Saccharomyces cerevisiae S288C: one gene and its partners. Changing the gene in region 1 together with any one later gene gives a genetic interaction. Each region holds a gene or a part of one and is shown in the gene's direction. Other genes may lie near its edges. The genes, in order: KIN28, TEN1, CAF16 and CAK1.

Region 1 (3,397 bases):
TCATAGATTTGATGACGGAAGCATTCATCAAGCGTTTAGATTTCTTGTCGCAGTTATTTTCCTTGCTCTTCCAAAACGTGTTCCATGACGATGCATTGATTCCATCATCATCATTAGCAACATCGCTATGATTTGGAAGTTCCCCAATAGGACTTACTTCAGGCTGGAAGAGAGGATCACAAGGTGCCGTAGTTTGACCTCCCAGTTTCTGAAGTAATTGAGAGTAGTCCAAAAAAAGTAAAGAAGAGGAGTACAAGGGAACTATTCCGTCGTTGACGGCATTAGCATAAAGTGTTCTTCTTTTGAATCGAGCAAGCACACTGATTAAGGATTCCTCGGATAGCAGGTAAAGTAGGGGCTTATCACCATAATTTCCATCCTTAAGACCCAGTTCTTGCCCCGTAGTACCAATGATACCCATCGACAATGACATTTTTACGTAATTGGGCGTGCTGGTAGCAATGCCTAGCAATGGTGACGCCAGTGAGATAAAATTGATTGGCTCCACTTTCTTAAAGAAATATGGATATTTGGTCTTTATGTAACAAATAGCAAAAGTTTGTGTTAATCCACCCAGGGAATGACCAATAAATGAAATTTTCCCAACAGAGTCATCATATAACTCGTCGATGATGTAGTTTGCCAATCCAACACCCAAAAACTTAATACCCTTCTCAGTCTCACAAGCATTCTTCATATATCCCTTAATAACTAGTCGCTCATTTGGATTGTTCATTTGAGCCTTGTATATTTCTTCCATTAAGTATTCCATATCTGCCGAAACGTTTGATTGAAAACCATGCGTGAGAATGACTAAATGGGATTTTTGCGACATGTCTATGGGTCGTGGTACTTTCCATATATCTGCGGTGGTAAGTCTATGCACCGATAATCCTGTGTGTAAAATATTGCAGGCTTTATCAGGCAATGAATCATTACATCGTATTTTTCTTTTCAAAGAGGCCTTTGAATTGCCGACTACTATCTCAAAAGTTACCTTAGTTTCTTTATTAAATAGTATTTGACTGACAATATCCACTATCCATACATAGCGTGGCTTAATGTGGTGCAAGGACAACTCTGCAATAAACTTTTGTTGTGCCTGTAGGTTTGATTGAAATACTGGTTTATCCGCCGAACATATGATCTTATACGAGCTTTCGTAATCTTTTGCTCGCACGTCACAATATAAGATAAATGGGCCCAATAGATAGGCTGGTTTATAGGATAGCTTTGTGGTATTTTTGATCTTTACCCATAGGGAATCCAGTGTGATATCAGCGGGAATACTATCACCCTGGTATAGCTCATATGTAATAACGTATCTTTCTAACTCACCTAACTTTACTGACGACTGATTGTGGTATAGCACTTCATCAGCACTCCTGCCAGCTTCCATATTACTACCGTTTCCCCGATGTTTTTGGGTGAATAAGGTCAGGTGAGCATTTTTTGTACTGATATTTTTTCTCTTTGTTTGCAGACACAACGCTTGCTGTTAATACGCTAAAAACATACCACACTACCTTGAACAAATCCTCCAAGAGAAATTTGTAAGAATTCAGAAGCGGTTTCAGGGGAAGTCGGCTTAGTTGTCAATTGTAATTGAAAATCACCCTCTAATTTGAAAGATTTTCAGTTTCAATAAGACATCAATCTTGCCAGTTTGTAATTTTTTGGTATATAGAAATGGTCTTCAAGCATAAGCCTTAAGAAAGATTCGTCCATTGGATGAACCTACAATTTTTTTTGTGTTATGATGTGAAGCTTCATTTGAAGCATTGTGCAGAGAATATTACAAGTAGATTCAAAAAACACATTGAAAAAAAATACAAGTGAAATCACAGTTACTTAAAAGTCATCAAAAAAAATATTCCCGGCCTCAGAGCGAACATATGAAAGTGAATATGGAGTACACAAAGGGTATGTGGGGGTTATATATTGTCGTCTTTCTTTTAACATTCAATAATGATACTAACGTTGATTAATGATGATTCATCGCAGAAAAGAAAGTTGGTGAGGGTACTTATGCGGTTGTTTACTTGGGTTGTCAACACTCTACTGGAAGAAAGATTGCTATTAAGGAGATCAAAACATCCGAATTTAAAGATGGTTTAGATATGTCAGCTATCCGTGAAGTTAAGTACCTCCAAGAAATGCAGCATCCGAACGTCATAGAACTAATAGACATATTTATGGCTTATGATAATTTAAATCTCGTTCTGGAGTTCCTACCAACTGATCTAGAGGTGGTAATAAAAGACAAATCAATACTGTTTACACCAGCAGATATTAAGGCATGGATGCTTATGACTTTGAGGGGCGTGTATCATTGCCACAGAAATTTCATTTTGCACAGGGATCTGAAACCAAACAATTTATTATTTTCACCTGATGGCCAGATAAAAGTAGCAGATTTCGGTCTAGCAAGGGCGATACCGGCCCCACATGAGATACTGACAAGTAACGTCGTAACAAGATGGTATAGAGCGCCAGAATTGTTGTTTGGAGCTAAACATTACACATCGGCTATTGATATCTGGTCAGTAGGCGTTATATTCGCGGAATTAATGCTAAGGATACCTTATTTACCAGGACAGAATGATGTCGATCAAATGGAAGTAACGTTCAGGGCCTTAGGGACACCTACAGATAGAGATTGGCCCGAAGTTTCTTCCTTTATGACGTATAACAAGTTACAAATATATCCGCCCCCTTCAAGAGATGAATTGAGGAAAAGGTTCATTGCTGCTAGCGAATACGCCTTAGATTTTATGTGTGGAATGCTAACGATGAACCCACAAAAGAGGTGGACCGCTGTTCAGTGTTTAGAAAGTGATTATTTCAAAGAATTACCACCACCAAGTGACCCGTCTTCAATAAAAATACGTAACTGATATGATTTTATAAAATTTGTAGAATCTGTGTTATTGACATTAGATGTATCCTCAACATATACAAATAAACTTCTTGATGCGTCTTGTTTTTTGGTGTTGAATTTTAACTCTTTTCCATCATTATGGAATTCGTTTTTAGATTTTAACAACAACAATATGAGGGGAGACAAACAGTAGCAGACGAAAACGAAAACAAAAGCAAGAAATATCTGATCTAAAATATGCAGAGGTTTGTCAGTAAGTTTGTTTCCACACCACCAGTACCCAAAAAGTTTCAAGAGATTTTCCCGAAGAAACGTACGGTTAACAAAATTTTATTCCAGTTAGATACAAGGCTTACATACCATGAAATGTACCCGATATTTCTGCAGGTATCACAAAATACTAATGAAGAGAATATCCCATGGAGGAAGAAATACCCCTATATAAGGAGTTCAGACATTATGCAGATGCGAAACGTCTTGATAACTCTAAGGACGCAGAACAAATTCGTCCACAAA
Region 2 (2,649 bases), on another chromosome or scaffold:
TACCACCAGGGCAGGTTTTCCGTGCCATTCATGGTAAAGACGATCAATTGCATTTTTTAAGGCTGCTGGATACCCCCAATTATATTGAGGTGTAACGAATACAATAATATCTAATGCATTTACGATGCGACTCCACGATCGAGTTTTGCTGTCTGCATACTCATCCACGCTCTTTATTTGCGCAGGGATCAGTTCGTCATCATCTTCATATAAGGGAAGAGCAATCTGTTGTAAATCTACTACTTGTATTTTCAGCTTCTGGTCTATTAATTCTTCGCTATTTTCAATTGTACGTTTTACGTATGCTGCAATTTCTGGGCATACCCTCTTTGCCCTCACAGAACCCATTATAATACCCACTTTCATGTTTAATGCGGTTGTCGACTAAGCACCTCAGCTGGTAATGGAGATGACCAAGTAACTAATTAACAATTGATAGATATACAACTTTCCCTTTTCAATAGGCATGTCAAATCTTTCGATTTTTTTTGATTTTGCACCTTCTTTGATTCATATTTACATTCGTAACCATGTGAGATGCTCAAATGTTATGATACTGACGGGTAATAAACAACGGGGGCACCACTCAAAGAAAAAAGCAGCTTATCTGTAGAATCTACACAGGGTTATGCCAAGAATGGAATTACAACAATTGCCTTGAATTCAAATCAGATACAAAAAATAGCATAAAATAGTAGGGTCAAACAACAGACCAAGACGAGACTGTAATCATCATGTTGTAATAAGAATCATGTATTAACTATCGACTAGTATTCATGTCAGTAGTATATACTGTCATATACAGTGTAACGTGGGGACATTAATTTTGATGACTTTTTTATGTCCTCACGTTACACCGCATGTGACGGTATACTGGTAACACAAATACTACTAAACAGATGGTATTTTACAGTTTCATTCCAACAAAAGCATGAAGTGTAATTAAAAAAATGCTTTCTTGGCTTGTATTCATCTAATTCATTTGATCATAGCATGTGCTCTATATTGTAATGGCCAAGCTCGGCGTTAAAGTTTTTAGTTGACATATTTATCATCTTGTGTAATATTTAACATAAAATAGGTTAAATTATTGTATCTCAAAATGAGATACGTCAGCCTGACAATACATTATCCTAAACGTTCATAAAATACATATGAAACAATCCTATAACAAAACGAACAACATGAGATAAAACCCGGCCTCCCTTAGCCAAACTACCCAAACATATAAATGCCTGAACAATTAGTTTAGATCCAAGATCCGTGCTTCCACCATTTAGTATGATTCATATTTTATATGATATAGGACAGTTAACATTCCTTGAATCAAGCTGATAATCCGTTTTGACAACTGGTTACTTCTCGAAGACTGTTTATATTAGGATTGTCAAAACACCCCAGTATTATTTGGGCTCGTAATATGATATAAATCAATAGTCATATGGCAACTTGGCCGAGTGGTTAAGGCGAAAGATTAGAAATCTTTTGGGCTTTGCCCGCGCAGGTTCGAGTCCTGCAGTTGTCGTTATTTTTTCTTTTTCTTTTTTTTTTCTCTGAAGCAGAGATGGAGAATAATGAATGCCCTTATTCTAGGACATAATTCACTATATTGTATTGGTTACATACAGCTCTATTTGCTCTTTTTAGAGAACTACGACAGTGTTATATGAGCCAGTTAGTTCTAGACTTAAAATGTTTGAAGGATAAAATAGCAACGAATTACGATATTCATAACAATGTTTACGGTGGAAACGGAATGGAACCAAACATTATTCATCCGTCCAAAAGATTCAGGATTGTTGTTCGATTAGTAGATTTCTTGTTCTGTAAATCGGATGAAGAATTCATTAAAGGTTTTTTCTGTCAAATGATAGTTAGAAATCTTCATTGCCTCAATTCAACAAATGGCGCAGAGGAGATGCGTTTGTATATGAGCGAAAGATTATTTTCAGCCCATAAAGATGATTTGAGATTGATAAATGGGCAGGTACTGGATGTTCGCATTGGGGTATGGTATGGAATACACCAAAGTCCGCCAATTTTTGAAATCATTGATTTTAAGATACTATCCAGGAATGACGTTCGTGATTTCTGTGAATTTGTCAAATCACCACTTGGTGAGAAGTTTCTGAACATCTCTAACTCCTAAGTCAGACGTTTGGCATATACTGAGATTATATAATACCTTTGATAAGAATGTAAGAGGACCCTTGAAAATAGTTATTGTAATGTTATGTAATGTAAATAATAGTATACAGGTGATTCTTATTTATCCCATGAAATAAGTATGAGAAAAGAAAGGAAAGAGGCAATTAGCCCGGTTCTGTTCTAACTAAAAAGCAATTTTCTTTGTATTTCTTCTTCTGTTCTTTAGCAGAATCTTTTGCTTTTCCAATTGTTCTTCCTCTTCCTCGTCACTGTCGATTTCCATATCCTCCTCTTCTTCTTCAGATTCCTCTTGTTCGGATACTGATTCAGCTCTTTCTTGTTCTTTAGCCAACTTTCTGGCAATTTCAACTTCTCTGATTCTCAATAATTCTGGGTTAGATTCGACCAATTTCTTATCTCTTAAGAAGTCCTTTTCTTTGTTACCTCTCATTCTATTCTTGTAGAAGGCTCTTTCACGTTTTTGTCTAATTTCTTCGATTC
Region 3 (3,186 bases), on another chromosome or scaffold:
TAGCTAAATTTTTCCTTTTTTCTCTCTGGGAAGGGAAGATTATCTTGAATTGGCAAAGTAAAGAAATAAAGAGAAAATTTAGCAAATGACATAGAACAAGCCAATTAACAAAATACGATGCCATTAAGGTCATTATTTCATACTAATCAGAGTAGCCACGACAAAGACGCGTTGACAAGGGGAGGTTATAACGCATATCTGGAATCACTTTCTCGTTGTGACAGTGGAAAGGCAGAAGAACAAAAAGGAAAAGTTATATCAAAGTTATTAGAGAAAAAAGATGTCCGAGCTTTGAGGTACATAGGTTTAGGGCCTCTGGGGTTTGTAAACAACTCATTAAGAAAAGATTGTTGGTATGAATTATTGGCGTCCCAGTTGCTTATTGATGATGCAACAGAGTACATTACACCAGTGGAAAAACATAAAGATGAAGGTCAGGTGATATTGGATGCAGAAAGGTCTTTTGGTGGAATTGTCGACAAAAACTTGAAACTGCAATTGAGAAAACTACTGGTGGAGTTAATTACTCGGGTATTGAGAAAGTACCCAACGTTGAACTATTACCAAGGTTATCATGATATTGTGTCTGTTTTCATCATGTGTTTTAGTTGGAATGTCACAAAAGAGAACGGACTGGAACTAGAAAATCTCTCATTGCAAGAAGAAATTGATATGGAAAGGCTGTTTTATTGCATCGAAGCATTTACCCTATTATATCTGAGGGATTTCATGATGAACTCACTAGATTTTTCATTTGAGCAATTGAGAGTAATCTCTTCATTGATAAAGGAATCAAACATGAAATTCTATAATCTATTCAAATTTGACGAAAATGAGCCCCTTTTCGCTATTGGGTCAATATTGACAATCTTTGCACATAATTTGAAACCTATAGATAGCGGTGACAACAATCTTCATAAAATTCTTTTCCAGATATTTGACATGACAATATCGATGCAATCTATGCGTTTACCTTTGATCATATACAAGAACCTGCTATTGCAAAATGCGTCTGAAATTTCGAAGCAAATAGAAGCTAATTCTGATTTCTTCGAGAACGATTTTGACCTGCGCCATGGTGCTATACAAACAGTTTTACAGAAAAAACTGTATGATGAGGCGCTTTGGGAAGAAGTCTTGCAAATAACTAGAAAAGATGCGACTACTGCCAGCAAGAAGGCTTTGAAACGGGTGAGTCTTAATAAATATAGTGCATTACTCAATACAGCATGTGGAAAGCCAGGATGCTTCGATATGAGCACCATTATCTTCTATTTGAGCGAACAAACAAAGATGAACGAGCATTACAAGGAAGAAAAGTATCATGGTGTCGCCGCCAGATCCAAGACAAGGGCGTTGGTCCAAAGACTTGGCCATTTTTTACCCTCCAAATATAACAGGTGGAGCAAAATTTCTTTACTTATCGGGATTGTAGCTATCCTGTACCAATTACGGACTACAAGGTCGTTGAGTTTAGTACTCAATCTACGTTACATGATCTCCACAAAGTTGAAAGACTTATCACATATAAATATAAATTTGCACCACGTTAGTCACATCTGGGTGGATCCGATTAGGGACATTTTGAAACTGGGGCATCCAACTAGATAGCATACAATATACCTTATATACCCATGACATAGAAACAAACTCATATGTAAGGTATTATTATAAAGTGCTTCTTTAAAATTCGCTGCGGAAATTTCTTCGAGGATGACTCAAATAAGAAAAAACGAAAATTCTGAAAGAGAGATTTTTAGTATGGAGAAAACCAGTACTCCTGCATAAGATATCAAGATATTAGATAACTCTCAAGATGGTTTCCCAATTTGCTATTGAGGTGCGTAACCTAACGTACAAATTCAAAGAAAGCTCCGATCCGTCAGTTGTTGATATCAATCTTCAAATCCCATGGAATACAAGATCTTTAGTTGTGGGTGCCAATGGTGCTGGTAAATCCACCCTTTTGAAATTACTAAGCGGTAAGCATCTTTGCCTTGATGGAAAAATCCTGGTCAATGGTCTTGATCCATTCAGTCCATTATCTATGAATCAAGTGGACGATGATGAAAGTGTTGAAGATTCGACGAACTACCAAACGACCACTTATCTAGGTACGGAATGGTGCCATATGAGTATCATTAATAGGGATATCGGCGTCTTGGAACTATTAAAAAGTATTGGATTCGATCATTTTAGGGAAAGAGGTGAAAGATTGGTTAGAATCCTGGACATCGATGTACGTTGGAGAATGCACAGGTTAAGTGATGGACAAAAGAGAAGAGTTCAGTTAGCCATGGGGCTCTTGAAACCTTGGAGAGTTTTACTACTTGATGAGGTCACTGTGGATCTCGATGTTATTGCCAGAGCAAGACTTCTGGAGTTTTTAAAGTGGGAGACCGAAACCAGAAGATGCTCAGTGGTCTACGCTACACATATTTTTGACGGCTTGGCCAAATGGCCTAACCAAGTATACCATATGAAATCAGGTAAGATTGTGGATAATTTAGATTATCAGAAAGACGTAGAGTTCTCTGAAGTGGTCAATGCTAAAGTTAATGGACAAGTGGCCTTTGAAAATGACAACAATAAGGTTGTTATTAGTAAAGTGAATAGTTTGCATCCATTAGCACTAGAATGGTTGAAACGTGATAATCAAATTCCTGACAAAGAGATTGGTATATAACTGAGTATATATAACTGCAAAGACCCCCTGTATAGAAAATATGTATCTTAGTGGAAAATGTGATTTGACTATTTAAGTTATAGAAGTAGTTTGTGATCCTAAAAAAAGGAAAACGACAGAAGTCTCATAGAAGCAAAGAGGCCAGATGAAGAAGAGAGGCAACAAAATTCACGCCCATCTTAATGAAACTGGATAGTATAGACATTACACACTGTCAGTTGGTCAAATCTACTAGAACTGCTAGGATTTATAGGTCGGATACATATGCCATTAAATGTCTAGCACTAGATTTCGATATCCCGCCACATAACGCCAAATTCGAAGTATCGATATTAAACAAACTGGGCAACAAATGTAAGCACATCTTACCTCTTCTAGAGTCTAAGGCTACCGATAATAATGACCTATTGTTGTTGTTTCCCTTTGAAGAGATGAACCTTTATGAGTTCATGCAAATGCACTATAAAAGAGATAGAAGAAAAAAAAATCCCTATTACGAT
Region 4 (3,165 bases), on another chromosome or scaffold:
GGAAGAAAAGTATCATGGTGTCGCCGCCAGATCCAAGACAAGGGCGTTGGTCCAAAGACTTGGCCATTTTTTACCCTCCAAATATAACAGGTGGAGCAAAATTTCTTTACTTATCGGGATTGTAGCTATCCTGTACCAATTACGGACTACAAGGTCGTTGAGTTTAGTACTCAATCTACGTTACATGATCTCCACAAAGTTGAAAGACTTATCACATATAAATATAAATTTGCACCACGTTAGTCACATCTGGGTGGATCCGATTAGGGACATTTTGAAACTGGGGCATCCAACTAGATAGCATACAATATACCTTATATACCCATGACATAGAAACAAACTCATATGTAAGGTATTATTATAAAGTGCTTCTTTAAAATTCGCTGCGGAAATTTCTTCGAGGATGACTCAAATAAGAAAAAACGAAAATTCTGAAAGAGAGATTTTTAGTATGGAGAAAACCAGTACTCCTGCATAAGATATCAAGATATTAGATAACTCTCAAGATGGTTTCCCAATTTGCTATTGAGGTGCGTAACCTAACGTACAAATTCAAAGAAAGCTCCGATCCGTCAGTTGTTGATATCAATCTTCAAATCCCATGGAATACAAGATCTTTAGTTGTGGGTGCCAATGGTGCTGGTAAATCCACCCTTTTGAAATTACTAAGCGGTAAGCATCTTTGCCTTGATGGAAAAATCCTGGTCAATGGTCTTGATCCATTCAGTCCATTATCTATGAATCAAGTGGACGATGATGAAAGTGTTGAAGATTCGACGAACTACCAAACGACCACTTATCTAGGTACGGAATGGTGCCATATGAGTATCATTAATAGGGATATCGGCGTCTTGGAACTATTAAAAAGTATTGGATTCGATCATTTTAGGGAAAGAGGTGAAAGATTGGTTAGAATCCTGGACATCGATGTACGTTGGAGAATGCACAGGTTAAGTGATGGACAAAAGAGAAGAGTTCAGTTAGCCATGGGGCTCTTGAAACCTTGGAGAGTTTTACTACTTGATGAGGTCACTGTGGATCTCGATGTTATTGCCAGAGCAAGACTTCTGGAGTTTTTAAAGTGGGAGACCGAAACCAGAAGATGCTCAGTGGTCTACGCTACACATATTTTTGACGGCTTGGCCAAATGGCCTAACCAAGTATACCATATGAAATCAGGTAAGATTGTGGATAATTTAGATTATCAGAAAGACGTAGAGTTCTCTGAAGTGGTCAATGCTAAAGTTAATGGACAAGTGGCCTTTGAAAATGACAACAATAAGGTTGTTATTAGTAAAGTGAATAGTTTGCATCCATTAGCACTAGAATGGTTGAAACGTGATAATCAAATTCCTGACAAAGAGATTGGTATATAACTGAGTATATATAACTGCAAAGACCCCCTGTATAGAAAATATGTATCTTAGTGGAAAATGTGATTTGACTATTTAAGTTATAGAAGTAGTTTGTGATCCTAAAAAAAGGAAAACGACAGAAGTCTCATAGAAGCAAAGAGGCCAGATGAAGAAGAGAGGCAACAAAATTCACGCCCATCTTAATGAAACTGGATAGTATAGACATTACACACTGTCAGTTGGTCAAATCTACTAGAACTGCTAGGATTTATAGGTCGGATACATATGCCATTAAATGTCTAGCACTAGATTTCGATATCCCGCCACATAACGCCAAATTCGAAGTATCGATATTAAACAAACTGGGCAACAAATGTAAGCACATCTTACCTCTTCTAGAGTCTAAGGCTACCGATAATAATGACCTATTGTTGTTGTTTCCCTTTGAAGAGATGAACCTTTATGAGTTCATGCAAATGCACTATAAAAGAGATAGAAGAAAAAAAAATCCCTATTACGATTTGCTAAATCCCAGTATCCCAATTGTTGCGGACCCCCCCGTTCAGAAATATACTAATCAATTGGACGTCAATCGGTATTCTTTGTCCTTTTTCCGGCAAATGGTTGAAGGGATTGCATTCTTACATGAGAACAAGATCATTCACCGCGACATCAAACCGCAAAATATCATGCTAACAAACAATACCAGCACCGTATCCCCAAAGTTGTACATAATTGATTTTGGCATCTCTTATGACATGGCAAATAACTCACAAACAAGTGCGGAACCCATGGATAGCAAGGTGACGGATATAAGCACAGGAATTTACAAGGCCCCAGAAGTGCTTTTTGGAGTAAAATGCTATGATGGTGGCGTGGACGTGTGGTCGTTGTTGATAATTATTTCTCAGTGGTTCCAGAGAGAAACAAGCCGTATGGGGCACGTTCCGGCCATGATTGATGACGGCAGCGACGACATGAACTCAGATGGAAGCGATTTCAGACTGATTTGCTCAATATTCGAAAAGTTGGGCATACCGTCCATTCAGAAATGGGAAGAGGTTGCGCAACACGGCTCGGTTGATGCATTTGTTGGTATGTTTGGTGCAGATGGCGATGGCAAGTATGTACTGGACCAGGAGAAAGATGTACAGATTAGCATTGTTGAGAGGAATATGCCTCGACTGGACGAGATTGCGGATGTCAAAGTCAAGCAGAAGTTCATTAATTGTATCCTGGGGATGGTTTCATTTTCACCAAACGAAAGATGGAGCTGTCAAAGAATCTTGCAAGAATTAGAAAAGCCATAATAAGAAGAATATATAGGTACATATATATATATATATATATATATGAAATGAAAAGTACGAGGGTAATCACTTTTTCCTCTGAAGAGCTAGTTTTATTAAGTCGAAGCAGTTCTTCATGTACGGTAAATTCTTGTTGCAAGCGGTCACACCCATATGTCCAATACGGATATACTTGGGTCCGATGTCCTTGTGAATACCTCCGGCAATGACTACACCGTGTGACTTTAAAAAAGCAATGACATCAGGAGGATCTGCTACGTATACGGCTGTCAACCCGTGCGCAGACATGTTAGAAGGATACCTACTGACGGATGTCAATTGCAAGCCATTAACCAAACTGTCTTTAAACCAATCACTCATTTCACGGTGCAAATCCCATCTCTTATGCAACCCCTCTTCGAGAATTTCTTTCAAGGCTACATCAAGGCTATTAATTAGTTGTACGGGTGGGGTTGCAAAATAAGCTCCTTTACCAGCCTCATAATTTTCCATTATTGGTG

Evidence for each region.
Region 2: mutations in KIN28 (region 1) and TEN1 impair growth when combined (synthetic growth defect), as found in Saccharomyces cerevisiae (one study listed by BioGRID).
Region 3: mutations in KIN28 (region 1) and CAF16 together harm fitness more than expected from each alone (negative genetic interaction), as found in Saccharomyces cerevisiae (2 studies listed by BioGRID).
Region 4: mutations in KIN28 (region 1) and CAK1 are lethal when combined (synthetic lethality), as found in Saccharomyces cerevisiae (3 studies listed by BioGRID, with this or other methods).

Annotation. Positions count from the first base shown.
Region 1 is NC_001136.10:265,803-269,199, forward strand, and holds KIN28 (TFIIH complex serine/threonine-protein kinase subunit KIN28), read left to right. Parts: upstream 1-1,895; coding exon 1,896-1,923; intron 1,924-2,004; coding exon 2,005-2,897; downstream 2,898-3,397. Other genes in the region: YDL109C (putative lipase), read right to left, coding at 1-1,399; MSS2 (Mss2p), read left to right, coding at 3,119-3,397. UniProt on the Saccharomyces cerevisiae protein: Catalytic component of the TFIIK complex (KIN28-CCL1 dimer) which is the protein kinase component of transcription factor IIH (TFIIH) and phosphorylates the C-terminal domain of RNA polymerase II during transition from transcription to elongation after preinitiation complex (PIC) formation, thereby positively regulating transcription.
Region 2 is NC_001144.5:166,820-169,468, reverse strand, and holds TEN1 (Ten1p), read left to right. Parts: upstream 1-1,666; coding exon 1,667-2,149; downstream 2,150-2,649. Other genes in the region: LOT6 (flavin-dependent quinone reductase), read right to left, coding at 1-366; RLP24 (ATPase-activating ribosome biosynthesis protein), read right to left, coding at 2,333-2,649. UniProt on the Saccharomyces cerevisiae protein: Has a role in telomere length regulation and telomere end protection. Acts as an inhibitor of telomerase loading through its interaction with CDC13.
Region 3 is NC_001138.5:78,844-82,029, reverse strand, and holds CAF16 (putative ATP-binding cassette family ATPase CAF16), read left to right. Parts: upstream 1-1,816; coding exon 1,817-2,686; downstream 2,687-3,186. Other genes in the region: GTPase-activating protein GYP8, read left to right, coding at 118-1,611; cyclin-dependent protein kinase-activating kinase CAK1, read left to right, coding at 2,869-3,186.
Region 4 is NC_001138.5:77,555-80,719, reverse strand, and holds CAK1 (cyclin-dependent protein kinase-activating kinase CAK1), read left to right. Parts: upstream 1-1,558; coding exon 1,559-2,665; downstream 2,666-3,165. Other genes in the region: GTPase-activating protein GYP8, read left to right, coding at 1-301; putative ATP-binding cassette family ATPase CAF16, read left to right, coding at 507-1,376; AGX1 (alanine--glyoxylate transaminase), read right to left, coding at 2,732-3,165.